Linked DNA regions of Neodiprion lecontei. The protein of the gene in region 2 binds, or shares a complex with, the protein of the main gene of each other region. Links are inferred from orthologs where the notes say so. Each region holds a gene or a part of one and is shown on either strand. Other genes may lie near its edges.

The links.
Region 1: eukaryotic translation initiation factor 3 subunit E (region 2) and eukaryotic translation initiation factor 3 subunit C share a complex: the UniProt entries of both Caenorhabditis elegans proteins name them as parts of the eukaryotic translation initiation factor 3 (eIF-3) complex. The link is inferred for Neodiprion lecontei from reciprocal best matches to the Caenorhabditis elegans genes eif-3.E and eif-3.C.
Region 3: eukaryotic translation initiation factor 3 subunit E (region 2) and eukaryotic translation initiation factor 3 subunit G share a complex: the UniProt entries of both Caenorhabditis elegans proteins name them as parts of the eukaryotic translation initiation factor 3 (eIF-3) complex. The link is inferred for Neodiprion lecontei from reciprocal best matches to the Caenorhabditis elegans genes eif-3.E and eif-3.G.

Annotation. Positions count from the first base shown.
Region 1 is NC_060261.1:25,905,119-25,915,712, reverse strand, and holds the start of eukaryotic translation initiation factor 3 subunit C, read left to right. Parts: upstream 1-3,927; 5' UTR 3,928-4,093; intron 4,094-4,293; exon of another isoform or gene 4,294-4,306; 5' UTR 4,307-4,319; coding exon 4,320-4,412; intron 4,413-4,550; coding exon 4,551-4,683; intron 4,684-4,758; coding exon 4,759-5,034; intron 5,035-5,162; coding exon 5,163-5,263; intron 5,264-6,960; coding exon 6,961-8,899; intron 8,900-10,594. Other genes in the region: TBC1 domain family member whacked, read left to right, coding at 672-1,239, 1,345-1,614, 2,587-2,703. UniProt on the Caenorhabditis elegans protein: Component of the eukaryotic translation initiation factor 3 (eIF-3) complex, which is involved in protein synthesis of a specialized repertoire of mRNAs and, together with other initiation factors, stimulates binding of mRNA and methionyl-tRNAi to the 40S ribosome.
Region 2 is NC_060266.1:21,377,806-21,389,028, forward strand, and holds eukaryotic translation initiation factor 3 subunit E, read right to left. Parts: upstream 7,174-11,223; 5' UTR 7,057-7,173; coding exon 6,967-7,056; intron 6,866-6,966; coding exon 6,749-6,865; intron 6,619-6,748; coding exon 6,457-6,618; intron 6,197-6,456; coding exon 6,074-6,196; intron 5,968-6,073; coding exon 5,735-5,967; intron 5,561-5,734; coding exon 5,443-5,560; intron 5,378-5,442; coding exon 5,166-5,377; intron 5,077-5,165; coding exon 4,818-5,076; 3' UTR 4,813-4,817; intron 4,723-4,812; 3' UTR 4,029-4,722; downstream 1-4,028. Other genes in the region: probable RNA helicase armi, read left to right, coding at 11-835, 913-1,786, 1,892-3,099, 3,160-3,402, 3,487-3,828. UniProt on the Caenorhabditis elegans protein: Component of the eukaryotic translation initiation factor 3 (eIF-3) complex, which is involved in protein synthesis of a specialized repertoire of mRNAs and, together with other initiation factors, stimulates binding of mRNA and methionyl-tRNAi to the 40S ribosome.
Region 3 is NC_060263.1:36,420,623-36,430,781, forward strand, and holds eukaryotic translation initiation factor 3 subunit G, read right to left. Parts: upstream 6,523-10,159; 5' UTR 6,366-6,522; intron 5,660-6,365; 5' UTR 5,658-5,659; coding exon 5,210-5,657; intron 4,823-5,209; coding exon 4,407-4,822; 3' UTR 4,168-4,406; downstream 1-4,167. Other genes in the region: S-phase kinase-associated protein 2, read left to right, coding at 811-1,134, 1,714-1,999, 2,084-2,520, 2,629-2,756, 2,888-3,234; calcium homeostasis endoplasmic reticulum protein, read left to right, coding at 6,917-6,935, 7,857-8,027, 8,715-9,387, 9,523-9,594, 9,821-10,159. UniProt on the Caenorhabditis elegans protein: RNA-binding component of the eukaryotic translation initiation factor 3 (eIF-3) complex, which is involved in protein synthesis of a specialized repertoire of mRNAs and, together with other initiation factors, stimulates binding of mRNA and methionyl-tRNAi to the 40S ribosome.

The DNA of each region.
Region 1 (10,594 bases), on a different chromosome or scaffold from region 2:
GGAAAAAGACACTAACCGAACACGTTTACTTAAATTTAATTGATTATTCTTTTTTACACTTATCACAGAATTTCTCCAGTGGTGTCAAATATTTTGCATTTATTTTTCAAAGCAAGCAATAAACAGTCTTTTAACAGGTTGTATAGCAACCGGGAATTCTTGGAAAGCCAGGAATTAAAGTGCCTTGAAAAGACAAGAATTATACAGGAATTTTTCCCAGCAACTGGGAATTTGCAATTAAATTGCTGTTTCTACATTCACCTGCAGAAAAACGAATTTTTAAAAATTAATATTTCTTCGGAATATCGCTGTAATTTAAAAATTTTTAAAACATAGAAAGTAGAAACATATAAAAGTCAAAATGTAGATTGGTTGGAGTATAGAGAATATGATGGTGTTCAGTGTTAATTATATCATGACAACACACAAGCGCCATAGAAATCATTATATACGAATATACGGGAGAAAACATGTTTGAAAAAAATAATCAGAAATATACGGAAATTATACGGGAATCTTTTATTCTGATATCACTGGACATCCTGTTCAAAAATCTGCTCAGAACTTGAACCTTTACTTCCTTCTATAGCCTTGTAAATCGAAATGTGAAGTGTATATCATCAGATATTCAATAACTGCCTAATAACTACTGATTATTATTTTTCGAACAGAAGACAGATTGTGCCGCCAGAGGTAATACTTCGAAGGGAGCGAAAATGGCTACGAATGTTGGGAAAATGGAACAACTTTATGTCAGCAAACTATCGCAAAGTCAGAGAGAGATGTCGGAAGGGAATACCACCATCTGTGAGGCCACGTGCATGGCTCTACCTCTGCGGAGGAAAACTGCTGATGGATGAAAACCCGCACTTATATGCAGAGCTGATTGCCAGACCTGGAGATCCAAAGTACATTGAAGATATACGGAAGGATCTTCACCGGCAGTTTCCTCAGCATGAAATGTTTGTTGAGAATGCACCTGGCCAACAAGAATTGTTCCAAGTTCTCAAGGCCTACTCCATTCTCAACAGCAAAGTCGGCTACTGTCAAGCTCAGGCACCCATCGCAGCATTTTTACTCATGCATATGCCCGCTGTACAGGCCTTTTGGTGTCTCGTCGCGGTCTGCGACAAGTATTTAGTGGGTTACTACAGTCAAGGCATGGAAACACTGCAGCGTGACGGAGACATTTTGTTTGCACTTCTAAAGAGGGTGTCTCCAGTTGCTTACAAACATTTGGTCAGTTAGATATTTGTTACACACATTAGATATAATCCTGGTTTTTCCGTTTTTCTGGTTGTAAACTGCGAAATTCTCATGGATGCTTGTCGCTTGTTATTACAGAAGAAACAGAAGATGGAGCCAATTTTGTACATGACTGAATGGTTTCTATGCGTTTATACGCGAACATTACCCTGGGAGAGCATTTTGCGTGTTTGGGACATGTTTCTTTGCGAAGGAGTAAAGATTATCTTCAAAGTTGGACTAGTTTTGCTCAAGGGTTGTCTGGGCCGCTCGACTCTCACCAAACACTGTCCAACCATGTATGAAACTCTTCAACAATTGAGGAATCCTCCTCACCAGCTCATGGAGGAGGAGATGCTCGTGAATCAGGTAACATTTTGACACTATTCCGCAGATTATGTCATTAAAGGCATGGCCACTTGAGCACTATCGATTAAAATCTTTGTAGAGACTCAGTGCTTTTTTGTTACCAAAATTCCGACTTTGTCACTCTAGCCATTTTGACAAATTCAATGGCGATGTTAGGTTGAAAAAAGCTAGCACCGTCACAAATAAAAAATGAAGATAAAAATAAAATAAAAATGGTATATTTAATTACTAATTAGTTGCTTAACCTTTAGGCTGCAGCTTGGCCAGTATACAGATCCGTTTCAGCAATTACGCGATCAGTATTTACTTCTAGAATTAGTTACTCTGTAAAACTACTGCGTGATTTTGTTACTTGCGTGCATTTGGCCGAAAACCATTACTAGTGTGATAAAAATACGGAACGAAAGATATTTCGCGTAATTTTGTATGTTTATCATACTAGGGGTGGCTTTCGGCCAACGTCAGGTGAGTTACGAACTCATGCCATCGATTTTGACAAAGCAACTAATTCTAAAAGTAAATACCGATCGCGATATTGCTCACATAAAGAATATTGTGTAATTTCATATTTTCACTACACCAGGGGTAGTTATCCAAGCTGGGAGTTGATAATTTCACATGTATTTCTTCGTGAAATTCAAGCAACTAAATAGTAGCTAAACATACCATTTTTATTTTATTTTCATTTTCATTTTTTACTCATGTTAATGCCAATTTTTTTCAACCTAGTATCGCCATCCATTCTGCTAAAACGACTGATGCAAGAAAGTCAAAATTTTGGCAAGAAATTAGCAATAAAAGAGCACTACATCTCTACATAGATTTTAATCGATTGTCCTGAAGTGGCAGTGTCACCTTTAGAGACACTCACAAATAGGGTAATGAAATGAGTTTCTTACAAGTAAAAATTCATTCGGAATGGAAAGAACACTTATTGTTAGTATATGATATCCATATTTCACTCCAATACAGATTCATAGACTGAAATTGAGTGAAGAAGACTTTGAATATGAGCACCAGAGGCAAGTGGTTCGTAGAAAATCGAAAGACCAAGCACCTCCGCAGCCTACGATGAACGGAACTGACTGATTGAAAAAAGAAAGCATGAAAATGGAATCAACAGCTATCAAGAAAAGCTCTTGAACATATTCCCTGAAATACGATGTGCCTTTTCCACAAGTATATCATATAGGTATGCATGTATATGTAATGCACAGAGTATGAAGTCTGTTCATCATAGTTAATTGAAATATTAATTCATATTATTATTATTATGTTATTAATTATTATTATGTTATTAATTATTATAATCTATGTTGAAGAATGAAAACACGGTGTTTTATGCACATTCCCGCAGTAGATAAATTACATACTTAGTACCTTTGTTCTATTCACATTGTTATTACGATTGTTGATAATACAAAACAAGCACAATATTTTTGTTATAGCTATATCATATTATTTAATATAAAAACAAAGTATTTTATTGTGCTGTATCATCATTATATTATTATTATTATTAAACTATATGCTCCATTGTCAATATTTATGTACAAAAAAATGCGAAACAAAACTTGTATACCGTACTGTATTTTTAAATGAATCGTATCTTATACGAATATATCACAATAAAAAAATTCGACTTATTAGTAACGAGTGAATAATCAATGCAACATTTTAGGACCCGAGATACTGAGTCGAAAATTCTTTGAGAATAAATTCACTCATGTCATCATCTCTACATATGTCGCGAGCACACTTTAGGTATGTATGTACTTGGTTGCAGAGACTTCACCATCGTCGAGTCGGTGTACAGTATTTACATAGTTTTTAGTAATCCTTATTCTATGTATTTCATACATGTAAATGTAACAATGTATGTTGGCGAAAGACCCACTGGGAAAAACCCAGTGGAAAAACCGCGTAACAATCGCCATTGCAACAGCTTGTTAAAAAATCCGCTAGGTGGTGTACACTGTCTGACAATTTGACATGATCCGAAATTTCAATGACGTATCCGCGTCTATGTATATCTATTTTATTACAGGTTACAATTGTCGACGCCAAGCTTATTTCGTTGCAATCACGGTCTTACATACAGGTCTGGCAACGAAGGTAGTGGGGGTGGTTGATTTCACGGCCGGTTATTTATCTCACTTTGTGGCCGCCAGGTCGGCGTTGTGATCGAGAGATGGATAATCAACGCGTGCGCAATGCATCGCCATCCTAATAATAATATTATTATTGGCACATTTTCATCCGTACCATCCCTACCCCACGTACATCCCGAGATAGCAGCGCTGCGACATGGCTATTTCAAACACTAAAAATCACGGACAAAAAGAGAACCACGCCGCTGCACGCCGCTCTGTAGAAAATTGAGCTTCGTTGCCAGACCTGTATGTAAGATCGTGGTTGCGATCGGCCTCTTTACATTGAACGGCTACCCGTAAGGGGATTTCTTTGCAGGCGATCACAGGTAAATTGATTAACGAGTTATTACGGTCTGTATAATAAAGAAAAGACTTCCTCTGTAGGATGATCAAATTTCTCCTAAATATTACGGCCCCCAATTGTGACTAGGACTTAAAATCAGGCCAAAGCAGTCTATTTTACTGTGCCATGTGTTTGACAACTCATTTGTAAGCCGTGCAAATCAGCAGTGATACATTTGTACAGTTTAATTTCACAGATTCAGTCTAATCATGAGCCGATTTTTCGCCACCGGATCGGACTCCGAGTCTGACAGCTCGTCTGAGGAGGAACAGATTCAGAGGCCCACAGGGGCAGTTTATACGGTATTTTTCAACCTTGCCTTAATCTAACCTTAAATCACGTTGAAGTTCGCTACCGTTATGTGACACAAACAGACTTCGATTGTCTGGTTTTGGTTATCACGCATTTCACCTTTGTAAACGAATAAATTTTCTTTACAGTTCAGTGATGATGAGGAAGAAACAAAGCGTGTTGTGCGCTCAACAAAAGAGAAGCGTTATGAGGAAATCACAAATCTGATTAAACTGATTAGAAATTACAAAAAAATCAAGGATATGAGCAGCATGCTCACAAGTAAGTATTAGTATTACGCGACCTTATGGTTCGGGATTGTATGGAATAAATTAACGCTGGTGTTGTGGGTTCTAGGTTTCGAACAGTTGACGCGAGCTTATGCAAAGGCACTGCCAGTTATTGCCAAGGAGGAAAATGGCCAGACGCCACATTTTTACTTACGATGTTTAGTCGAGTTGGAGAATTTTATTACTGATGTTTGGGAAGATCGTAAGAATATGTCTAAAAATAATTCCAAATCACTCACCTCTTTACGCCAGAAGATACGGAAATATATCAAGGACTTTGAGGAGGATATTACCAAGTTCAAAGAGAATCCTGACCAGGAAGATGAAGATGAGGAAGAAAAAGGTGCAGTTTCGATTATCAGAGTTGAATATTACAGTGTTAACGCAGAGAAATATGTAGATATAATTTAGTTACCTCAACTAAAGCAAGTTAATGTTACATATTATTAATTATTTAACATGATCACATAGCTGAAGAGGCTGAGGAGTCGGATGGAGAAGAAGATCGTGCCAACGCCTTCAAGAAAGCTAGTTCAGCAGAAGCAAATGCTCCTGATGTTTCGAAATTCAAGGTTTGAACGTGGTTACATTATTGTATTAATTGAGCTCGTTAGTTGGCCAAAATTGATACTTTTTATCAATTTTGTTATGAATTAGTCGTTCATTTAGCATTTATCAAATTTTCATTATATTTGTAGGGTTTGATCGTGGTCACGTTACCGCATTAATTAAGACCGTTGGTTGGTCGAAAATCAATACGTTACAATAATTTTATTATGAAATAGTCGTTCATTGAGTCTATCAAATCATTATATTTGTAAGCTACGAAGATTTCTTTAAAAATGGAATATACTTCAATTATGAACAAAAGCATAAGTATCCATGCTTTCTAAAAGGCATTGAAATGTTTAAAAATCTCGTAGATTCGTTTGATTTCATTCTAGAACCAATAATTTCATTTAGAAAACTATTGTCTGCAAAGTTACTGAAGTACTTTTTTTTTTTTGTTATCATGCTGGCATCATTAAATATTTAGTTACATAATATTGCACTAGTAGTATTCATCATCAACTAATGGCAATATTGAATTAACTAGTTAAAAAAAATTATCTGGCTTAGTAACAGTGTAGAAAATAATCTTCTGATTAAAATGTAACAATGTATTGTGAAATCGAAAAATTTACTAGAGTTCTACTTATTTAGAAGTAATTTGAAATAAAACAGCCATATCTAATCTTATGTTTAGAATTCCAGTATTTTCTATTCTGGCGTTTTGAAAGAGATCTTTGGAATATAACAATTTGATTAATACGCAATGTACGACGATCTTTAAGGGACATTACAGTGTGATCCTCCGAAATATCACTGATTTTCGCGATTTTTTTTTATGGTTAGGATAAACTAATCGGTTTGATTTTTTTTTGCACATCAAGGCAGTGATGAAGAATATAAAATGATTTTTTGTAAGTTGATTTATTTATTGTTTAATATTGTTTTAAATTATTGAAAAGTCCGATTCAAAAAAAAGGTCCTGCATGGTGTCCAGGATTGCGGTCTTAATCCTGATCTGAAACAAAAATTGCAAAAAGATTATTAATCTGTATGAAAGCCGCTATCGTGCTATGGACGCTTTTTTTTTTTTTAATTTGACAAAATGGCGGCGGTTTGAACAAAACGTATCGAATTCAGTTTTTTTTTTACGGTTTTTCGTAAAAAAAAATTGAAAGATTTAAAAAAAAAAAAACTTCCATAGCACGATAGAGAATGACGTAAAGAATGTTCTGTCAAAATTGCAAATGGATAGCTTGAAAACTCTTCCTTTGAGAGTGGACACCATTCCGAGAAAAACGCGTTTAAAGATTGAAGTTAGAAAATTGTAGATATATCGTTTAATTACGATCAATCGGCGATACCAGGTCCATACAATATTCCTTCTGCTTCCTTAAATTGTTCATTTCCTGCAGGAACGTACACGCGCAGGTAGGAACAAGACAAAAGGAATAACAGTTGAATGGGGAGACAAACGCAGCAGATGTCATATTCCCTTTCTCTAAGAAATGCTGTAGTGACTGAAATAATTCGAATTTCGTTAAAAAATTTGAGAGAATGTTTATAATAGTGTATACTATCCGATAGTGCAAAAAAAAAAAGATTTTTTGAAAATTTCACACTGATGATCCCTTAAATAAAATTGAAAAAAGGGTCGATTTTTTGCCTCACAACTACTTCAATGTCTTTTATTGTTTTCATGACTTTTTTCCGTTTGTAGAAAGGTCCAACGATCGACGGTGAGGAAGCCAGCGACAGCGACGAAGATTGGGGAAGTGATTCTGACAGTGATAGCACATCAAGCGATGACGATGGCCAGTACACAAACATTCGCGAAAGATTCATAAAGAAAACAACAGACAAAGATGATGACGAAGATAAGGCAAAGAAGAAAGAACAACGCAAAGAGCGCAAAGACAAGGAGAGAAAGAAGAGACGTGATGAAGACGACGGCGAGGGTGAATGGGAGACTGTTAAAGGAGGTGTGGCAATACCGTCAGAAAAGCCTAAAATGTTCGCCAAGGATGCTGAGATAAATGTGCAGGCCGTGTTGAAGAAACTAACTGAGGTGATAGCTGCACGCGGTAAAAAGCGAACAGACAGAAGAGAGCAGATCGAACTACTTCATGAGCTGCAGTCGATTGCTGAAACTCATAATCTCGGGCCAGCCGTCGCCGTCAAGATAAAGTTTTCTATAATCTCTTCAATATTTGATTATAACCCAAAAGTTTCCGATGCGATGAAACCTGAATACTGGTCAAAGCTTCTTGAGCGCATATCGGAGATGTTAGACATGCTTCTGAGCACTCCAGATATGGTAATCGCAGAAACAGTCTCTGAAGACTCAGAGGAATACGAAACACCGCCGTACAAGCTGCATGGTTGCGTGCTGACTCTGGTCGAGAGATTAGACGAGGAGTTCACCAAGCTGCTTAAAGAGTGCGATCCGCACAGCAACGAATACGTCGAGCGACTGAAGGACGAAAAACGCGTATCAACGATTATAGACAAGGTGCAGGAGTATCTGGAGAGGCAGAGCGTAGTATCAGAATTGTGTCGGATTTACCTTCGCAAGATCGAACATCTTTACTACAAGTTTGATCCGACTGTGCTGAAACAGAAGGATGGCGAAATTGCTTCCAATGTCGTAACGTCGGTCCAAGTTATGGAAAAATTGTGCAAATTTGTCTATGCAAAAGATGGTACAGATCGTTTGCGGACCAGAGCTATTCTTTCGCATATTTACCATCATGCGCTTCATGACAATTGGTTCCAAGCTCGAGATCTGATACTGATGTCCCATTTGCAAGAAACCATTCAGCATTCAGATCCGGCTACGCAAATACTGTACAACAGAACGATGGCTCATCTTGGACTTTGTGCGTTTAGACATGCAAACATCAAAGATGCTCATAATTGTTTGGTTGACTTGATGATGACTGGTAAAGTTAAAGAGCTCCTCGCTCAAGGCTTGCTGCCGCAGCGGCAACACGAACGAAGCAAAGAACAGGAGAAGATTGAGAAGCAGCGTCAAATGCCGTTCCACATGCATATCAATCTCGAATTGCTGGAATGCGTTTACCTCGTGTCTGCTATGCTTATTGAAATTCCTTACATGGCTGCGCACGAATTTGACGCCAGGCGAAGAATGATCTCTAAAACGTTTTACCAACAATTGCGATCTAGTGAGAGACAGTCTTTGGTCGGTCCGCCAGAATCGATGAGGGAACATGTTGTTGCCGCTGCGAAAGCAATGCGGAACGGAAACTGGGCTGCCTGCAACAATTTTATCATCAATGAGAAAATGAACGCCAAGGTTTGGGATCTTTTCTATCAAACCGATAAGGTTCGGGCCATGTTGACAAGGCTGATACAGGAGGAAGCGCTGCGAACTTATTTGTTCACTTACTCGCATGTTTATGACTCGATTTCAATGCCCACACTGGCAGAGATGTTCCAGTTGAAGCGCCCCGTAGTTCACTCGATTATCAGTAAGATGATAATTAATGAAGAATTGATGGCATCGCTCGATGACCCGACGGAGACAGTTGTGATGCATCGCAGTGAACCCAGCCGTTTGCAATCCCTGGCTTTGCAGCTCACTGACAAAGTCAACAATTTCGTTGATTCTAATGACAGGATATTCGAATTGAAGCAAGGTAATATCTTCGTATTTATCAGATTATTTGTATCTATGAATAAAAATTTGTATTCATTATATTACACTGTTGGCATTGAGAAGAAATCAAAAGTTGGAAAATGGGAAAAGACTGTTTAAAGAATTTCCAGCAATGTTATTTGTATCAATGATGGTAAACACAAATGATAGAACTATTCGACCATGTAAAAGAAATGAATCTGAACCAATCTCACTAACACAAGTTAAGTTCTTAACAGTTTGAGAAAGGATTTTATAATCAGAACGTACAAAATGCACAATCTCGTCTGTTGTCGAGCCAATTCCAAAGTTTTGTTCATCAGAGATTGAATAAAAACGTTTTACACATGGTTATCATCAGAGTGGACAAAAACAGATTTGTATAAGTATGCTGAAAGAAATGTTTGTCAATAATTACAGTTGCAGGTTGTAATTATACTATAATATCAAGTTGTTTAATCTTTGTTCAGCAAAGTTGTAGGGATCTGATTAGCGATAAAAATGAGCCCAAATCGTTAGAATCAGATAAAAAAAAACACCAAAAATTGATCGTTTTAAACATTCCAATAATAAAATATTTTCTCAATTTGTTGACATTTTAGTTGGTGTTATTAGAATTTGCTCGCATCCACTGTGACATAGTAGGAATATTATTTCATTCGCGTTTGTCGTCATTGGCGCATATAACATTACTGCGGATTTTTGTTCTTTTCCCAACTTTTGATTCAGACGCCTCAGCTGAGTTATTGTTAAGAATGTAATGAGATGTATAGTGAAGTCAAAATAGTAACAAATCAAAAACGTAAGAAAGCAAGGGTTTCAAAAGGGCAAGTAAAGCCAATCAAGTTAAATCTAAATAAAAAATATACTTGTGATTCGTAAATAGTGTATTGTGTTACTAGTCCGGAAAGTAGGTGATCTCCGGTGAGTGTGAAATTTGCAGCTTGAGCCAAAACGAGCGCTGTAATCACACGAATCATATTTTATTCATCCGTACGTGTGACGATATTTTTTCCAATACCTGTGAAGCAAAGTTTGATTTGAGAAGGAACAAAGGTGTCATTGACAGGGCGTGAAATTGCGGTCCGGTAACTTACGTTTAAGGCGGTGTCCTAGTCGATTTCGGCGTTGATGTGCATATTCAAATATGGAAGTCTGCGTATCTCAAACGCGAAGAAGGGCTTTTTTAAGCCCCATTCCACTTGCAATTCTGAACAAAAACAAAACGTTTTCATTCGATGCAGAAATAAAGATGTATTGAAGTGTTTTTGTTCAGAATTGCGTATAAAATGGTGCTATTAAGCCGTTTTTTGCGTTTGAGATACGTAGACTTTGGTACATGGAGATATATACGTCAATATCGAAATCGACTGGGGCACCCCCTTAATGACACAGTGCATAAAATTAAATTATTTGAAAATGCGTTGGCACCAAAGAAAGCCCTAGCGTGAAACTGAGCATTTTAGTTGTACTCCTGCGCCAACATTGTTTTACCGTACTGTTTGGAAATAGGGCACTTGACGTAGTCTCCACAAGCGTTGAAAATCAAACTTTTCAAGCAGGTGTCGGAAAACAATCTTTAAATTTCAACTGTGAACAACTCGTTATTGACAGTCTCAGACTAATCATTTTATTCTACTTTTTTCAATGAAAAATTCAATATAGTGTCTTCTATTCTAATGAAAAGTAACGTATT
Region 2 (11,223 bases):
CTAAGTGAAAATGGTATCCTTATTGTACGGGGTATTTAAAAAAGTGCTCGGTTTCTCCGAGCCTCCCGAGCCGGATTTAGCTGATTTGATACAACAGTTGGAGGGCGAGCAAAATGTTAAATTGAACAACTGCGATAATCGAGAGATAACTGAAGAAGAAATAGAAGGATGCTTTCACAAAACTGGTATCGTAACGGAAATTAGGTCCGAATACTTTATAATAGATGATAAATTTGAATGCCAAAACGTAAATGCTTCTATCGGAGAAATCCGAGTTGGAGCCAAAGTGTATTACCTGGCGTTCCAGAGGACAAAGGGTGAGGAGCTAAAGATAAAAAAAATTTTATCAATCATTGATGACGAATGGGAAAACGAAGTGGCAACTTGCACCGAAGATGCGGTAAAATCCCAAATGCTGAATCGCGTTATTGTTGGAAAGGTGATGCGCAGGGAGCAGAGGATGGTTTTTATTGAGCCTGGCCAAATTTCCTTCAGCCTTGACGAAATCACCTCTGAATTTTTGCCCATCGTCGGGGATTGGGTCAAACTTCAAACCATAGTAGCAGTTGACGACAACGTTGTAGATTTCAGCGGGGAAGTTCTTCAGGTTGACAAAATTTTTCCTCTAAGGTCAAAACTCGCCACTGGTGTTGTATCTGCCTATGACGTCAAGTCTGGTTCTGGTACCATACAGCATAACATCGTTTTTAACAAAGCCAACTGCGAGCCTGGATATATTCCATGTGTCGGCGATAAAGTTGTCGCAGATAGCATCGAAAGTGATCAAGGAATGCAGACGTGGAGGTCATTGTCGGTCGTTCCGCTAATGCATCAGGTAAAATGAATTCCTGAGTGTAATAGATTACTGAAGTCCTCTGAAAAATTGTACAAGTTCATTTATGTCCTTTCTAGGTGTCGCAAAGACAATTGTTCAATAATCAGGCTCAAACTGAAACTGTAAATGAAAAACAAGAAACTTTTGGAGAAGAAAAATATGGGATAGTTGTCACAAATAATTTGATGTTCGATTTGCAATTGCTTGAAATGAGAGATATTTCGATAGAGATAAAAAATAATGGACTTCACCCACAGACGTTACTCAAAGGATGTTTTCTGTCAAAAAAATCCATGTCGCAATTGACTTTGTTGCGACCAAAAATAGATACTGCGTCAGTATTGCAGCCTTCGGAATCAATAACATATGTATTCAGATGCCATGCAAAATTTGTCGGGTATTCGGAAGAAATGTTTCTGTTCATCTTCAAACATCTGAAAGTCCATCGCATGTTTCGCTTCAATGTTAGTTTGAAAAACTCCGTAAATCATAACGTGCAAAGCGGTCAAAATCCAAGGGGAAACAAAATTTACAAGCAAAACGAGTTCGATCAATCGACCTGTGTTCGTGGCGTTAGAACCTGTCAAGCACCAAAGTTCATTACTGTCAGGCCTGGAATATTCAAAATACCTCAACACTTATGGGATGTCGTATTGCGCCTAGAAAATGATAAAATACCTTTTCGGAGCGGCATTGTGGCGATAGAAGAAACCGTGCCTTGCTTATTCGAAGATTTGACGTTTCAAAATTACAGAGATCGATTTCATGCTCTGTTGTACTTGGAAAGCATAGCTGATTCTATAGCTTTACAACGATACGACATAAGCAGTACAGTCATGAGATTTTGCGGAGAATTTCTCGCCCTTGAAGTGCCAGGACTAGCGGAAAAACGACCATCGCTCTTAGTCGGAGACAAAGCCATAGTTTCTTTCAATTGGGACTCCAGCAAAGGTGAATTATGAGCAGTTCTCACAACTTTTAACTTCGTCGACTCCTGACAGAGGAAGTTTCTACTCTTGTCATTGAAACTGATGCTTTTATCCTTATTTTTCATAGGTGAAATAAAGTACGAGGGATGCATTCACGAGGTAAAGAACTCGGAGATTTTACTCAAGTTCAATCCAGCTTTCCATGAAAAATATAACGGCGAACGATGCGAAGTGACATTCAAGTGCTCCCAAACACCGTCGAGTCGCTGTCACACGGCCGTTAACTTGGCGATAAATCATCTGGGAAAAGAATTTTTATTTCCTACAAAAATTGTACCCAAACCACCGCAACTGGAACTTTTGGAAATGAGTGACGATGGAGAATCCAGAAACAGTACGTTTGCACGACAAAATGATGTTACTCCAGGCCTGCAACCGAATGCGCAGGCATGTTCGAAGACTGGAGACACTGATTCGTGCGTTTTACAAATAAAAAAACGCAAATTAGTATGGTTCAACAGGGCGTTGAATTACTACCAGAAAGAGGCTGTGCGTAACGTTTTGCAGAGTCCAGCTCACCCGTTGCCTTACGTCATATTTGGGCCACCAGGAACAGGGAAAACGATAACTCTTTGCGAAACGATATTGCAGATATTTAGGACCATACCCGAAAGCAGACTGTTGGTTGCGACGCCTTCGAATAGTTCAGCCAATCTAATATCGGAAAGACTTTTAGACAGCGGAGTTTTGAAACCGGGCGATTTGGTCAGATTGATAGGGTTTCACTGCACCACAGATGGGTCAATTCCGCAGAAACTAATCCCGTATTGCGCTGTAGGTGACTTGGCTCGAGAGGGAACTCGAAATACTCCTGACCACAATGCCAACGGCATAAGACCGAGCTGCAGTGCAAGTGTTTTGGGACGGCACAGAATCACAGTCGGTACTTGCATCTCATTGGGCATACTGCATAACATGGGCTTTCCTCGAGGTCACTTCACCCACGTTTTTGTTGACGAAGCTGGACAAGCTACAGAGCCGGAAATATTAGTGCCATTAAATTTCATTCATGCCGATACCGGGCATGTAATTTTGGCTGGAGACCCAATGCAGCTTGGACCTGTCGTCCAAAGTAAATACGCATCGCATTTTGGACTTGGGTTGTCTTTTCTGTCTCGGTTGCTTCAGCGCTTCCCTTACCAACGAGACTTGGAAGGATTTGAGAGGGGCTACGATCCACGACTAGTTACTAAACTCATCATGAACTATCGCAGCTTGCCGGAAATTCTCGCACTTCCGAATTCGTTATTCTATGATTCTGAGCTCGAGGCGCAGGTAATAATCTTTAGCTCTCTTGGTTGAATGATAATTAATGATCGTTTGTCAAATCTCTAGATTACAAGGCAAGGAAAAGAAGGTGACCTGCTCACTTCAGTCGCTAACGATTTACCTGAACGCGACGATTTTCCACCTGCGATAGTTTTCCATGGCGTTCTCGGCGAGAATTATCAGGATCAAGATAGTCCAAGCTGGTATAATCCGGAAGAAGCTGCTCAGGCTTACTTTTATATACTAAAACTTTACAGCCACGGACTTGGCCCTGACGATATTGGGATTATAGCACCTTACACTAAACAAGTAAGATTCTGAAACGTTTCAATTTCGGATTAATTATACAGAGTGCAAAAATTTGGTTCTATTTCATTTTTATATTTTCTCCAGGCTCGTCATATTCGGGATTTACTTGCAGAGATGAATACAACATTGCCAAAAGTTGGCAGTGTGGAAGAGTTTCAAGGACAAGAACGAAATGTTATTATTCTATCTGCAGTCAGATCGATAAGCGATCTAGTCCAAGAAGATGTTAAACGATGTCTTGGTTTTATCGCTTCTCCACACCGTTTGAATGTCGCTATTACCAGGGCTCGGGCACTATTAATTATTCTGGGAAATCCACATTTATTATCACAAGATCCTTACTGGAGAACAGTGATTACGTATTGTATTGACAAGAATTCTTACACTGGCTGTGATTTCTTTTCATCAGCGATTATCAATGAGTAGTGCTGATGAATATTTTTTTTTAACTGTAATCATTGCATCTATGATTTATTGTACACAGGATAAAGAATATGTTCCTAAAAGTTATTTAGATACGTTAGTTACAATAGTGCTATTTAAATATATAATTTTTAATTTTTTAAAGTGAACGATAAATTTTCAAATTGTTTTTTTTTTATCGAACTTTACTTCCAAACAACTGGAACTAGAGATTAAATATTCAGAGATAAGTCAAAAGTTTTAAGACTGTTCCGCTTTGCGAAAATTGGAGACTTTTTCATCCGACCAGCTCAACGGGAATGTTTTAATTATTTACTGGTTTTTTTTTTTTTTTTAATCTTTCTCATGCATCAGGCGTATAAGGAGATAACGTAACTTTCAAAGTATTCAAACTAGTATTCATGAGAATAACAAATATGAAGATATAAATTTCATACTACAGATAATAAAAATATTAACTATATTTAATAAATCCAAAAGTCTATTCGTTACAACGTTTTTTCTTGTCTACTTTCTGCGAGATACCATTTTTTATACAAGAATATTTTGTATTTTTGGCATATGAAATAATAAATTTTGACAAATTATATTTCTTTCTAAGTTTATATGAAATATTTTTTATCATTTTGAAAATAATTTTTCGATTATTCCTATAAACCGTACGAATACCAAGGGGCTAATCGTCAAATTGAATTCTTTTCATTAGAATCAGTTTATTGATTTCACGTATGTACTGCTTACAACGAAATTGACTTGACATGGTGATCTTAAATGACTGTAGAAAAACGGTACACATCCGGTGGAAGTTTGTTACAAAATTCTTCGTTTTTCGTCTGAACATCGTTATCCTGATTATAAAATGTTTAAAATGGTGGAAATCTTTATACATTGTAGAACCTGAAATGAATAGAGCATGGTCAAATAACATTTTCTATAACATATCGTATTTTTGCACGTTTAAACTCATCTGAAAGAACCAATACATACCTTTGCTAATTCCAGACTATGCTAACTGAATCCTGATTTTTCGCCTTCAATTTCCGCTCAATAAGATTCTCCAGAGCTTCACTTCGCACGCTCAGAGTCTCGATTTTTTCAACCAGCTGTTGGTACGGAGAAGCTGGCTGTCCACCCATAACAACATGTCCCAGCTTACTGTCAATCTTTGCGTCCAATCTTGCATTGCGAATTAGATTGACTATCCAACATTCCGCAACATCAGCTTTCATATTAAGTTTTTCAGCCAACATACTAAAAGAGCATAAAAATTAGCTGGCATCCAATCATCTCCACGAAAAATTACAAAATTAGAATGTCCTACAAAGTAGGCCAATACTTACTCAATACTGATGCATTGGTGGATTCTGCAGAATGTTTCGAATATCATTAATCTAGCGTTTTCGACAAACTCATTCAGCAGAGCAATTAAGAAGAAGTCATTGAAGACGACTGTCTGACATTCTTGCAGTTTCTGACGAGCTCCATCAAAATCAAAGTTCACATACAGGTGCTCCAAAAATTCAGTGATTGGATCCCGATACGTGTAGGATTCCTAAACGTGAAAATTATACCGGAATTATCAAACACTGCAGATCAAGATTTCGTAACTGAATTTACCTGTTGGATAACTTTCACCAGATCTTTCAGGGTAGACCGCCTCGATCGATTTATGATTACCGCTGTTGCCAAATAGCGTAGAATATGCGGACACATTGTCTGTATTGCGTTCAAGTAGCTGTAATCCAAAAGGCTCTGTTTTGTCACCCACTCAACACCAGAATTGACGAATGAGTAGGAAAATTATACAAGATGAAACAAAATTGCGTCAAAAATCTTCTTCATCAACGAATCGATAAACAATATAATGTAAATTCTATTCTTAGACAAAATCGGGAGTGTTTGTACTCACTGTGGTCTGTACAAGAACATTTCAATGATAAGGTCCCTGCCTTTAACATGATTGAAGAAAACGAACAGACTCCAGTGAATGAGCCAAGTGCGTTGTTGAAGAACCTGAAGAGTGTTGCCAATAGCGTTACTGTCTATGTACTCTCTGAGTTTATTAACGTCTTCCAGCGCGGTTTCCCAATTTTGAACTAAGATTTCTGACGCCAATTTTCCCCACAGGACATCCAAGTAGTTCTGTTGAACAGAAAATAGTCACGTTTAAAAAAGTAAGTCACATGACACCATGAATTATTATGTAACCTTAGCGCAAATAAGTCTATAAAATTTGAAGAATATTTACTCTATCGGTTGGTGGCATCACAAGCATGTAGAAGTACAAGTACGACGTTGAAACCGAGTAGGTTCCGCACTCATAACGATACTTTGCCAACTTGACCAAGCTCTCCATCATCTCCACTCTGAACTGTAATTTTTATCGCATCATTAAAGTGTTAGAACATAAGACAACAATAAATTCTAAAAAATCCAAAACCCTAAATTCAGGATAACTCCAGCAATATTTTTCTTCCTTGTAAGCCGTCAACAATTCATTATTCCCATTCGATAAAAAAAAAAAAATTTCATGCTTTCGATACTTCAAGAAGTGTATGCTGTTATTGCATACACGTGAAAAATTGATAAACATATCTCAATACTTCAGACAATATATAAATATAGAATTACATCTGATTCCTTAAGGAGAAAGTGGTTGAGGGACTTCGAGTCCCTCATTTTTTCCATAGTTTCCATAGTATCATCATCGCTCATCAATTTCAAGATGACTGAGGCATTATCTTCAAGATCACCAAGCTCTTGCAATACCCGATTACGGCGTTCGTTAAGTTCCTGTAAAAATATTAAATCTTAAAAATTTTCACCAAACCATGGGAGATGGAAAGCATTTTATCCTTATCGACGGTTCGATTGTTAATTATCATTAACGAAACCTGAACCATTGGTCGACATAATCGCCTACCTCCGGCACTTCGAAATTCGGATAAAGTTGTTTCCTGATATCGATGGCGTAATCGATCATGTTGGTTTTGCTCAGGATGTCCAATTTCGCCTGTAGAAGCTCATTCTCGTCATAAATCTGTAATGGCGATTCAACGTCGCGTTATTCATCGATAACCTAAAAACCGCCATGCTCAACAACCTGATGACAGTCAATCAAGCTGGCAGAGAATCACTCACCTCCTTTGCAGATAGAAATTCCAACAGCGGGAATACCAGATGCCGATCAAGGTATTGCCCTATTCGGGCCGTCAGATCAAACTTCGCCATATTATTTTTGATCAACAAAATAATAGTAGCGAATATTAAACGGCACCTTTACACCACAGAGAAGAAACCGGGAATATTGAGGATCACGCACCTCTTGTGCATGCCCTAAAAAAGGAAAGAGGCACAAACTAACGCGTTTCAATATCGGAAACACGACTCCCATTTTCGGCCTCGACTAATTTCAGCTTATGCCGCCAAATAGCGTTTGTAAAATTAAACTTTTTGAAAATAAAATATTCTCTGCACCAATTGGCCAATTTTAACGGATTGAAAAAGGATAAGGTTCACAATTTTTTTTTCTCATTTTACATCTGTTTTAGGTGTATTCCATTCGACCGAAAGTGGTCAGACAATTTAAACTTACACCTGACCTCGCATGTAGGGAAATCCTGTAAACATTTGATCATATTGCGCGTCGCTTACGTGGTATTTTCACCCGGCCATTGAGAGCATATATAAAATAGAGCGTAAACAACGGCGTAAGCGTCTCATGAGCAGATTTAAATTGGTTCTCTGAAGGACAGAAGATAATAATTCTCCCCCCCCCCCCCCCTCTCTGTCACTCTGCCAAGCTGCTACCCCCACTTCACGGGAAAAGAAACAGAGCGCAAAGGGGGGTATCATATGTCCTGCAGAGAACTGATTCAAATCCGTTTCTTCTGAACGCCGTGCGGCATCAGTTGCTTCCGAACAACCAGAGAGAAGTTATGTGCTCTCAGTATCAGATCGAAATTCAGACCGCGTTGTTCAGGTTGTGTCACGTTGTTCGATCAGTGTACTCGCACCATACTCATTTTTAATATTACACGAGGAGCAGTGCATAGCCTGAAGAAAAACCGAGTTATTGAAATAAATACATTCTACGAACGTTGAAGGTGAATTTCGTGTCCCAATTTTTCATTGTTTGGTGTAACTTCAGCGAGTGATACCGATTCTTCTCTTTCTGTGTCGGTCGGTGTTGTTTTTATTTTCGGTTCACTTGTTTCTGATAAATGCGTAGTTGCACTGTTGACATGTTTTCGCTATTCAATTGATCAGGTAGCTAGCTACAGCACAGAAAGTCAGAGTGAATGTAGAATCAAGTGTTATTACGGTGCAGATTCTTAGATTATAGCTTTATAAAGTTTTCAGTGTAAAATGTGCGGTGTTCCACTGTTCAGCCTGAGATGCTGCCAGAACTACAACATGTAAAGTGTGGAGCAGCCCAGAGGAGGTAACAATACTTCTTTTATTCATTGTTTGATAATTCAGGGTGGTATGTATGTACATTCGAAGCCGAAATTTTGTCCTTGCGTAACATACAGTCGATAAATAATTAAGCTGAAGCTACCACCCAATGTTAGTAGTCAAATGTGTTAAATTTTTTGGAGATAGAAAAATGCGGTACTGTTTTATCCTAATAATTATATAAAAGTATCGGGGATTCGAGGTATTTCACAAAATTTTGATTTTCGGATTTCACTACCTTATGCGAATAAACACGAGAACGTTTGGCTGTTAATTCTGGCTGACGGCTTCAGTCTTGTCAATAAATATGGTTGTAGACACCAGTAATAATTGATTTGACAACTGAAAAGCCAACTTGCTAAATTAATTCGAGTTTTCTTTTTTGTTTATTCCAGATTTAAGCAGAGACATCCGAGTAACTTCTCCATTGCTCGGCAACGTTGGTGAGTTTGCATGTGTCAGGTTACGGGTATTTCCCTGGGATTCCTCTGTCACGTGGCGTGGCGGTAACAACTGTTACACAAATCTACGATTTTTTAGCTGCATGGATAGGCTCATTCACGATCGCAACGTGCTTGACTTTCAGTCGAATAATTTCTTTATTCGCAATTTAATTTACCGTAGCTTAATTGAAGTTAGAAATTTTGCACGTTGCTAAAAGTGGAATGAGCATCGCGACAGGTAACCATCGCTTACTCGGCACTCGCGAGATCGAATTGTGTTTCGCAACTGATGTAATAATCTACGTTTGAATTTACCGATGATGTCGTTTAAGCGGTGGCATCACCTGAGATTTGAATATATTCCAGGTATTGGTTAATCGTACTCATATGATTGTTTGATTGATAAAATTCCAAAGTCTGGCATAATGTAACTTAATCAAACTGCCTGTTATGTCTCGAATCATTTGTAACTTTTTTACGGCCAGCAAGTATTGATCAATTGAAGGTTTAGCTCGTTTAGAAAAATACGAATTAACGTACAGGATGTTTCTAATCCATCTTACAAAAGGTTGATGTACCGATAGTCTGCCAAAATTTACTAAGATAATACATACAATTTTACGGTTGGCGGGATACAACCGCGATACTTCATTCTGACGATGAGTAAGCAGACTACGATACAAAAACATTTTGCTCCGAACAGGTAACCAACGAAAATGTAAGTCAGCGACCACGGCGCAAATGATGAAGAATGATGTGTGTTGGAAAAAATGGAGAATCGTTTAGATCGAATATAGGTAACCGGGTAGGTAGGTGGACGTTTTGGGATCCGTCGCGGGGCTTATGCATGTGTGTGTGAGTCTCTCTTTTCCGTTGGGTGGTTCCGTTGGGAAACGGGTAAGGGTAGGAAGGTCGCGATGTACCGTGATGTTACTAACTTTTGTAATTCACAGCGTCAAACGATCACAGAGATTTTTTTGCTCAAAGACTCCGTATTCGAGTCTCTGGGCCATTTTTAAGCATGTGAATTTTAACAAGATTAAATTTACATTTCCTTGTCACTCTGCAACCATTTTTCAATTGTTATTCAATTCAATTATTTGGTCATTACCGATCATTATTCCATTCAATTGATTTCTGTGATCGTCTGAATGGGCAAAACGCATCTCTGGACCATCTATCGCGTTCCGTGGTACGCTAGATGGGGAGAGATGCTGAGCTCGAAGTCTTCGCGTCGAAGAGGACCACCGACCGTCACGCCACACAATAATGCATGCCCTCCAACCTCTCTCCGAATTTCGATTCGATTTTTAATCTGAGAACAACAATCTGCATAGCAATGTATCTAATGCAAAAAGATACAGATGTGGATTGGGTTTCCACAGAATTTTTGGGACAAGTCCCAGATATTACAAATTTTTGACAGTTTAACCTGTCGCGCCTTATTGCGCGTAGGTTAATCCCGAGAATTAGACGCAGCCTTTTGCGCGTAAACTAAGAACGGAAATCCAACGCGCCTTTTTGCGCGTCGAGCTTGCAAACAGTATATAAAAAAGTTACACACTCCCGATGTGCTGATCTTTCAGCTCTTTGGTCAATTTTTTGATGAATAATAAACTTTTCAAGTTCCACAGCGCCTTTTGCGCGTGGACTTGATACCTTTCAGTTATAAAATAAAGCGCAGCATTTGAAAGCCGACGCTCAACGCGCAGAAAAAAAAAATCTCGGTAGTGTAGACTTATACAGTGGAGATTCTTGGCGTAAGTATTTATGAAATATATCTGAAGTGTACAGAAATACTCGTTTAACTGATCGTATTATTTTCTGTTTCAGGGTAACAAAACTAATTTTTTAACAAATGCACTGAGAACTATAGAATGTTCAGTCAAAAAAGATATTCACTTTAATAAATCAAAGCAGAAAGAGATGTCAATTCAAACAATTTAGAATGTCTGTTCAATACAATTAATAATCGAAGCAACGAATATTAAAGCGAATATCATGTTGGGCTCGACCCATTTTTTGGCAATATATGGACTTATGTGATTGTGCTAACCATACCTTTGTCTGTTTCAGCTAATCAAACCTTTTGTCTGTTTCAGCTAATGAAACCTTTTATCTATTTCAGATAATCGAACCTTCTGTCTATTTCAGCTAATCCATATTTTTGTCTGTTTCAGCTAATCAAACCTGTTACCTGTTTCAGATAACTGAATCTTCTGTCTCTTTCAGCTAATCAATCTTTTTGTCTGTTTCAGCTTATCTAACCTTTTGTCTGTTTCAGCTAATCAAATATTCTGCCTCTTTCAGCTAATCAATCTTTTTGTCTGTTTCAGCTTATCTAACCTTTTGTCTGTTTCAGCTAATCAAATATTCTGCCTCTTTCAGCTAATCAATCTTTTTGTCTGTTTCAGCTTATCTAACCTTTTGTCTGTTTCAGCTAATCAAATATACTGCCTCTTTCAGCTAATCAATCTTTTTGTCTATTTCAGCTTAT
Region 3 (10,159 bases), on a different chromosome or scaffold from region 2:
TTATTTTTACGGTGAAAAGTGGCTACACCTATACCTAGTTTTTGGGCAGATGTTTAGATTCCGTGTTCAGAGAAGCAACAAGTGACCATCTTGAAACTGATCCCTCGTGTAGTCGAGCTTAGCTTTTAGCCACGAAAAAATACGGATACACATTTTTCACCCTATAGTTACACACGTTCATCTTCTTCGTATTTGCCGAAAACTTGAGTCGGCGTCAGAAATCCTTTATTGAGAAAATTTACATTTTTCTGTCAACTTAGGCTACTGTGGTTTTGTATATCAGTTTCCCCATTTTGTCTTCTACCTTGTTATCTGATACTCGATTTCTTTGTGTATGAATATTCTCTGTCTGCAGTCCTAGACAAAATCCTATCATATCACAAATAATACTTATCACCCAGTCATTCAATTTTTTTCTATCTTCAGTTATTGTTTTAATTTATTTCATATCGTTTTAAAATCATCAAAAAGCATTGTTCTTAAAATTAACAATTTCAAGCTGGCTTCTCATTCTTACAGAGTATCCATATTCAACGAATATGAAAGTATGCATTAACGTTCAACGTTGCAAAAGTAAAAAAATCATGGAGACTAACTTCAAGTGAAAAAAAATATTTCGACGTTCTGTGCTCAATTGAAGAACAGATTTTATGCCTAGCCTATATTTAGGAAAGTTAGAGACAACTATTTACCGTTTTGATTAAATTGATTCATGGTACTTACAGTATTAAAAATGCTCATTGTATTCATTGGGCACTTGCTTTTTTTATTGTCTCTGAAATTGATGCATATTTCATCTACAATCTTTAGCAAGCGTATACGGTTGGATGATGGCTCTAACAACAATCTCAACAGCACGTTAAATAGTGCAACAAAAAACAATACACGCTGGACTTGTGCAGGAGATACAAGTCTGGTAGAGCCAGAGATTCTGGAAGATATGGGTGTCAGTATGTTGGAAGACGAAGAAATGAGTGGCGGATCAGTGAAAAAATTGAAAACACACGAGTGCACCATCTCACCAACTGGTTCTCAGAACAGGAGAACGCAATCTACAGAGAATGGAGATATTGTTTACGGAAGTCACAGTACCATGTATCGAGATTCAAGTTTTGAGACTGTTCATTTAGAGAGGTAGGTAATATCCCTTATGAAGGTAATTTTTACATTTTCGATCTGTGAACAACCTTAGCAGAATTGTGATCAAAGCCCATTTGTACATTATGTGGTAGAACTTAGGGATCCAATAATAGGAATGAGATATCTCGCTTGTGACTCATTCTGTTTTGAATTCTTAGCTACTGTTAGAAGAGAACTCATTTCATATTATGCAATTTTGCAAATTACAGTTTCCATACCACAGTAATGAAGTAATAGAATTCATGAACTCAGTTTGATTTATTCTAATCAAGGTTGAAGGTAGTAACGTTATCGTAACGAAACATTGGGGAAGTAATCACTATTTTCTTAATTTTACAATGATTTTGAAGGAACTAAGATTTCGAATCATGAGTGTTTTTATTTTGTTATTGTTTATTAAATTTCAGACAATTCCAAAGCTGTCAAATTTGATGCTATTTGATGTTGTTTTTTCTCAGCATCAAACGTTACGATAATGTTACTAACTTCAATATGATTAATTCTTGAGACGAATGTTCATTTTCACGGCTTTGTAATGATTGGTTATTAATAAATTTAATAACTTGTTCACAGATCAGAGAGATCACAAGATCCATTTGAGTTGGAGGATGCTTCTGTATATTTGTCTATCGGCAATGAGTCTGGTTATTCGTCAAGAGTTGAAACAGAAACATTTGGAGACATGAAACAAAGTTTCAGCAAAGATGAATTGGGAGACATGGTAGATAAGAACGGATTGGATCAATTTTATTTGTACAGACGAAAGAAAAGACCGTCTATTACTGGTGAAGATAAATTCAACAAACTCTCTGACGAAATGATTCTGATGATCTTAAGGTGGCTTCCGAAAAAATGCTTGGTAACCACCATCTGAATTTTCTCTACAACGTGCATTTCTGTTTCTATTTTTACGTATTTAAATATTTGTATAATCTGTCTTCAGGTGCGTTCAATGCTTGTTTGCAAACGATGGTGTCAGATTGCCCGTGACGAGGCATTGTGGAGTCGTTTAGACCTTGGTGGTAAAGTTTTGGGAGAAGGAACCCTGGGACATATCCTGCCACGAGGTGTTCAAACATTGAGACTGGCTCAAGCAGAAATCGCAGACCCAGTATTTCAGCCAAGCAGTGAAACTCTGAACGAAAATTACGTCAGTAAGCTGCAATACCTAGATTTGTCAATGTCCGTTATATCGCCTGATGGATTGGCAGCTTTGTTATCCGTGTGTAAATTTTTGAAAAAATTATCTCTCGAGAAATGTACACTGAATAGACTTTGCTGTACTGCTATAAGCAAAAATCAAGACTTGGAAGTTCTAAATTTAACCATGTGTGAAGGAATTGATATAAAATGTCTCCAGGATGTTCTAAAATTGTCAAGGTGAGGTACTTGCTTCCCAATTTATACTTGTTATTTTTTATTTGAAAGCTGTAATCTCAGTCTTATTTTCATTATTGTTACCTGTATAACATTTCTTGTTCATTTTAGATTGAATGCTCTTAACGTTGCTTGGTGTGGCTTGGATTTAGAATGTATGACATTACTTTGTCGACAATTACCAAGCACCATTACCCGGCTGAATATTGCCGGATGTCGGAAAACCATGACAGATGATAGTAAGTATATAAATATATAAATATAAATATACATAATAATATAAATATGTATAATAATAGGCTATTAAATACTATGACCCTCGACGAAGTATTTAAAAGTTTGTTATTTATTTATTGACTTATTTTTGCAGATGTCAAAGAGTTGGTAAAATGCTGCCCGCGTATCATCGAACTCGATATGAGTGATTGTACAATGCTTACAATCAATGCCACCCAAAGTCTATTAAGCCTCACAAAGTTAGAACACTTAGCCCTAAGTCGCTGCTACAGTATTCCTCCTACCACTTATTTAAGACTAGCTCACATGCCCTGCCTAATGTACCTGGACGTCTTTGGATTAATGGCCGAACCTACTTTAGATACACTGCAAGCAAGTTGCGGAAATACTGAAATAAACAAGTTCCTATACAGTTCAGTCGCCAGACCGACAGTTGGTGTTAGGCGAACGAGTATTTGGGGTCTTAGAGTTAGAGATTAGGAAGCTAGAAGAATTGAAAAAAATCTCATTTAGTGATTTACGAAAAACCAGAGAATTCGACTAGTAGTAGGTATAGTTGATTACAAATCGCGTTTTGTCGCAGTAACTGAGAATAAATCGGACTTAATCTCTCGTAAATACGAGTAAACGATTTCTTGAAAACTGAAGTAATAATAATAAAGTAAAAAGTTCATTAAGGTATGTATTTCGAAAGTAGTGCCAGAAAGCGGTAATAGAATTGATTTTCATTTTTGTAAATAAATTCTCATACAAGACGATTAACACAATAACATAATAATAATAATAATAATAATAATAATAATGACAATAATGTTGTTAATGATCAGTCAATTATCTGCCAAATGTGCTTACTTGTTGAATATCAATTTTTTTTTTGTATAAAATCGCGAAATTCAGCACTGTAAAAAACCTGTAATACTTTGAAAGGTAATGATTATTTTTATAAATGATATTAGGAGAATTTTTCTTTCTTATTTTTATGTCACACAGTCCACACATTGTAATCTGCATAACGTGAATTAATGAATTTTACAATGCTTCTCCCGACATGAGTGATGTGAAGCGAGTTTGATTTCTTGTGATTTTTTTTTTTGGAAACCCATGATACTAGATGTAAGAATGTATGTATACTATTTTTAAGATGGATAGAAAGGAAAGTCCTTTGATACTAAAGATAATTCGGTATTTTCCTTTCTTGCATCAATATAGTACCGAATTTTCCTGGAAATCCGGGCTTACTGGATGATTATATTATTGACGACTATGTGAATTAATTATTATTATGTATATTCTATAAAAATGAATCATTATGGTTAATCTGAGTTCAATTCTCTTTTGCTTAGTTTTCAGCAATACCCAACTCACTTTAAAGTTATTTTGTTGCAAGTGTGTAACTATCAATAATCAGAGGAGTTATATTTTGGACAATTTATTAAAGAATCAAAGATACAACTGCAGAGATTGCAAAACAATACCTTGGTTACTGAAACGTGGAATCCGTTCATTCAATTTATATATATATATATAAACATTGAAATATTTGATTATAATTTATTACACAAGATACATATCAATAGGGTCTTAACGAATGATCAATTATTGCGTCAGAAGGATTTAATCTTGTAAAACGGAGTCACATGCGCAATTGACATCTAATTACTTTGTGTGGGGGGTTTGGACCAGTCCACATTTAAAATAAGGTGATCGTAACCATGTCCATGTAATTGAACAATAGCTTTAGCAGCATCAGCTCGGAATTTATAATGAACATAAGCAAATCCTTTACACGAATTAGTTAGCTTTTCCTTAGCAAGGTACAGTTTTTGAATTGGTCCAAAAGGCTTAACAAGCTCTTCCAAATCGGCGTCGGAAGTGCTTTCAGAGAGGTTGGAAATTCGGATCGCTGTTGTATCGTCACGCTTCGTCATCTGCATCGAATCTCCACGTCTATTACCGCCATCTCGCATATTGGGTGGTACGTATCTACTACCCTGAGGTTTATTTAGATCAGACATTGCTCCAGGTGCTCCTGGCACTCCAGCTGGTTTCTTATCATCTGGAACTTTACCTGGAGTAAAACATTTCAAGATTATCAGTAAATTAGAAAGATGGACTGAGAAAAGCTTAATTCTCTTTTGGTACCGAACACAATTACTGGTTGAAGGTAAAAATATTTTAACAATTGAATGGTCGGTTCATCTGAGGAATAATAAAATGTTCAAACTTTAAGGACGCAGTTCTAACATTTGGAAAAATGTTTCCTTTGAGACAAAAACTTCCTGTTACAGTATAAAATCTCTCAGTATTTCGTCTTACTTTTTCGAAATTTTACTAATACCTATAAATCTATTCTAATCGCAGAACTTGTATAGCGAGGGCTCCTGAATATTATAAAGTTTTTGGATGAGTGAATGCAAGAACTTCAAATAATGGGTAAATATCAGTATCAAGTTACCTCCAGCGAGTATAGTGTCTTTGTAAGGACACTTTGAAGTCCAGTGATCACCATTGCAGTTACGACACTTGACGACACCCTTGTCCCCGATACTCTTCAATTTGTCAAGTGAGTCTTCTTCGACCTTGTTCTCTTCTTCCTTATTTGAAATGAACTGCATGAAGACATCTTCTGCTCCGACAGTTGTGGCTGGATTTGGTCCAGGTCTGTCGTCCGAGGAGTCTCCAAACTTTGCCCAGTTTTTCCGCACGGCTATAGTCTTTGATACTATACGACGTTCCACCTTATATGTACGGACAACTTTTACTTTCTTATCGTCTTCGTTGTATTTGTATTCTGTAAGGATTTTGAATCCATTTTCATAGACCTCTGTCGGTGGTGGCAGTGCTCCTCCTTCTTCCTCAACTTCATCTGCCCAACTGGATTTAACTTCTTCTGTTACCGGCATGTCTGCAAGTTTGAAAAACACCTCTAATCTAGTAGATGGGTAAACAATAGTGTTGGGCCAAGTATATCAATCCTAACGTTTTTTCTACCTTTTACTAGTTGTTTCTCTTTAACGTTTCACATGTCTTTTAATTGTAACTTATCAAACTTTTCAGCCTCTAGAAGAATTCCAATTCAAGCGGAAGACTTTCGATTTTAAATTACTATCAATTTCCCTGTACAGGAACCTTCGATTGTTAAGAAACATTTGTTTACACCTGATTGATTAAGGAAGTGTAGATAGCGAACGGAATAATAGCGAGCAATTTACAAAGTAAACGATCTTCATAAATTTATAAATGTATATTTAGGATTTCAAAGAATGGTGGAGATCCAGAATATCTCTGCGTTTGAAAGGATAGTACGACTCAGGATGGAGCATTGAACTATTTGAGGTTAGGGTATCGCAACGTCTCGAGTATTGATACCCATCATTCCAATCAATTCATGAAAGTAGCGTCGATTAAATTTAGAAACGCGACACAATGATTTGGCAACTGGAAGACTCTTTAACCTGGTAAAATGATCGTAACATTGTAGAAGATACTGAAAATTGCATTTGAGTAGATCAACCTCACGTGTCATAAATTTTGGAATCTCAGCCGGCGTTGAGCACCTTAATGAAAAATGATATGGAATAGCAGATATTACTATTATATTACAAACTTACCTGTTCTCCGTGAGTAACGGTATCGGTGTAACGAAACGTAATACTTGGAAGATTTTAAAAGAACTTGACAACGCTTCGTCGTACATATGTCCGTCGGATAGACGATCAGCCAAAATGGAAGAAATGCCAGTGGCGTTGGGGGCGATCGCTGCTCCCTCTGTGCGTTACATCGAAAACTTTAGCGACGAATGTAGATGAATGGCTATAAGTTGTCTGTGGATCACGGTGAATGCAGCCAGCATCATGTCGAAATCGTATCTCTCTGATGTTCTGCAATAAGTTCTCAACTCTACCGTTGGAACATCTCAGAGGGCGCAAGCGCACGACGATTTTCGGTTGTCACACCAAAGTCCACTAGGGGGACTGTCTTTACATTCTTGAGTCACCGGCGAGGGAGACGAAGTGAAAAAAATGGCGATGTCTAGCGTTGTCGCTGTATCGTGAGCATAATGGTTTTCGGCACAACATTACAGTTGAAAATACGATAGAGTTTCATTATTAAGTGTGAATTATTCGTTACACGACGAGTCTCGAGTACCCACGAAGAAGAAATGGATCAGGCTCCTGCAGGTAGAGAAAAAAAATCACAATCCCAAGAATCAACGAAGCGCGGTATTATTTCCACACTACGTATCACGTATCAATTAATTTTTCGGCTTAATTTTTCGCCCATCAATACAATATTACTCTCCACCTTTACAACTTGACGAGTAAATACAAATCACTGCAGATTTCTCTCACCCTGTGCTACACAAACATATCGTTGTGTACAGGAATTGTATTAGGTTATGTGGCTCCTCTCACGTCCACCTTAAAATTGCCGAAATCGGCACCCCGATGAGAATTTGGAATTTTGATTTATTACTAAGTATGACTATCTACGAATCTTTTACAACACTCGGCGAAATATCGGTGATTATTTTTGTTTTCCACGTTCACATTCATTGTCCGTTCGCTGCTTTCTCTCCTACAATCACCCTTCAAGATATACAATCTGTTAATCAAACCTTAGGTATGGTTATGATTTTAACAGGGTAAATATTTGTATTCCATATTCATTTCACAACACGTAATCGACATCTAAATTGCGATCAAACAAGTCTGGAGAATCTTTTAAGTTATATCATAAACGATTTGTCTCAAGAGAAATATCTGATACTCTTCAATACCGCAATAACATTATATTGATATCCTTATCTTGATATCATATCTTGTTCTGCGATGGTTACATATTGTTTCCATTTATATTTTAAAGTTAATAAATAACAGGATAGCTATCTAAATGTTGGATTATTTTTTATATCAGAACTGTAACTAGGATATTGTACTTATATGTCATAATGATTTCTTGAATATTTTAGAAAATAATCTGTCTAGAAAATAATACCGGGTAAGATGATGATCCTTTTTTTCCATGAAATATGATGTAAGCTTACATTGTTGTTGGATGCCGATTGTTCTAACAAAGTTCTGTTTTAAATGATTTAATAGACACGGACTTGCGCAACATCATAGACAAGCTGGCTCAATTTGTCGCACGTAACGGACCAGAGTTTGAGCAGATGACGAAAAACAAGCAAAAGGATAACCCGAAGTTTGGTTTCCTGTTTGGCGGAGAGCACTTTAACTACTATCAATACAAAGTGACAACGGAGCAAGCCAGTAAGTGGGAACAAATCCCCTTAACAACGTACAAAAAAAGGTCTTCGTTCAATGAGCTAGAAGCAAACCCAAAAAAAAAAAAAACAAAAAAACGACTATGAGAAAACGTATGAAATCGTCAAATGAACAAAACATCACCACCGTGCAATGAGATGAAAAATGTCATTTGTGCAAATCAGGACATCGTTCAAGATTTTGGGAATCGTTATTTATTATAAGACTTGAAAAAAACTAGAAATGTGAAAGGGGCTTTCTTAAAATACAAATAAGAACAAGATGTAGCTTTAGGATTGTTATCTGATCCAAGATTAGATCGGCAAGGATACAAATGTTTAAAATACCAACTACTTTTATGTTTATGAAGAGTACTACACACTGCCGCAGTAAAATCTGTTTTACATACATGCTCCTGTACTCAACTGTTTGGTGTAGCACGATGAAAGAAAGAAAACAACACATTCTGTGTTCAGTGGCGCTTTAAATTTAACAGTAGACTTAATGCATTCTTACATGATGCCAGAAAAATTAATATGTGCCATTCGAAGATATTCATCCAAAAAACAACCGAATTAAAAATGACAAAAAAATAACAAAAAAAAAGTAAAAAACATGGACCATTAGTTTATTTTTTCAATATCATGAAGAAATGAAAACAAATTGCAATAATCCACCGTCATTCGTTTACAGTTTTAAAGCAAAAAGGAATAAATCCAATGCAAAATGCCGACCCACGTTTAAACGTTTCGCAGCAGCAGCAAACAGCCGCGGCCGTCGCTTCGCCACAAAATAACGTCAGTCTTGCCTCGAGCCTGAGCGCTCAAAACAACGGTTTAAGCCAAGTGGTCGGGAACCCAGGGCCCGTTATACCAGGGATAACTGGGGTACCCGGAGTATCCGGAGTTCCAGGACCAATCGGAGGGCCTGGAAATGTGGGACCACCTGTTGGGGCCATTCCTGGACCAATAAGGAACGTGAATTCGCCGATCGGAGGAGTTAATTCTGGTGTCAATATTGCCGGTCCTTCAGGTTGGTTGCGAAATGAACTTGCGCAGCTTCAGTCACAGCAAGCTACACTCCGAGAACAAGTTAGGCAATCTGAGCAAAACCTCGCTGCCCAACACGCCGCTTTAATGGCTCAACAACAAGGGAGAGTCGAGGAGGCTGTCAGACAAGCTCAAGAAGCATCGCTGCAAAATAATGCTCAGCATACAAACACTGACCTTTCTGCATTTGATTCTGTACTACAACCCATTATCGAGAGCTGCACTAAGGACAGCATCAGTGCCGGAAAGGCTTGGATACTACAGAATTCTATCACAGCACAAAGCAATCAAGTTATCGCTGAGCATTTGCTGAAAAAGTATGTATATCTGTTCATCACCATTTCTCGATGTGTTTAAAGTTATCAAAATTTCACATCAAAGCTTAGCCGGCAACAAAACCATATTAATTTTTTTTTTAATCGAATTATAGTAATTTCTGTAATAAATTTTAGAGTAATTCAAGGAGCAGCTTTCAGCCAGAAGTTACACGTGATTTACTTAGTAAACGATGTTCTTCATCATTGGTAAGCACACAAGTGTATTTCACAAAGAGGATTATTATTTCAAAAGTTTATTTCGACTCAGTGCTTACCTGAAGGTAGGATAAGCAGACTGGTCAAATGAATGCAAACTGGAAATGCATATAACTGGTTTATAAAAGATATTCTAGAATTGGTTCTGTACCTTTTTATCCAACACATACAATATAATCATGTATACATTATTGTAAATCTTAAAACAATTTCTTAGTGCGAGGAAAAAATCAATCGATCTTCGCAAAGCAATGGAAAGCGTTGTTGTCCCGATGTTCTGCAACACGTCATTGGCTGCTACCGATGAACAGCTTAATAAATTGAACAAACTTTTAAGCCTTTGGGAATCTAAAAATAATTACTTTGACGATGGAATAATCGAGAAGTTGAAGCAACCGAGTATATCTTGGTCAGAATACCAGGCCAGTTTAGTTTCAAAACATGCAAGTGCCATTACACCAATCACCACATCAACCAAACAGACTTTTGAAAATTATCAAGCTCAGCATCAGGCCTTCATCAATCATGCTATGAGACAAATTCAAACTATAGAGCA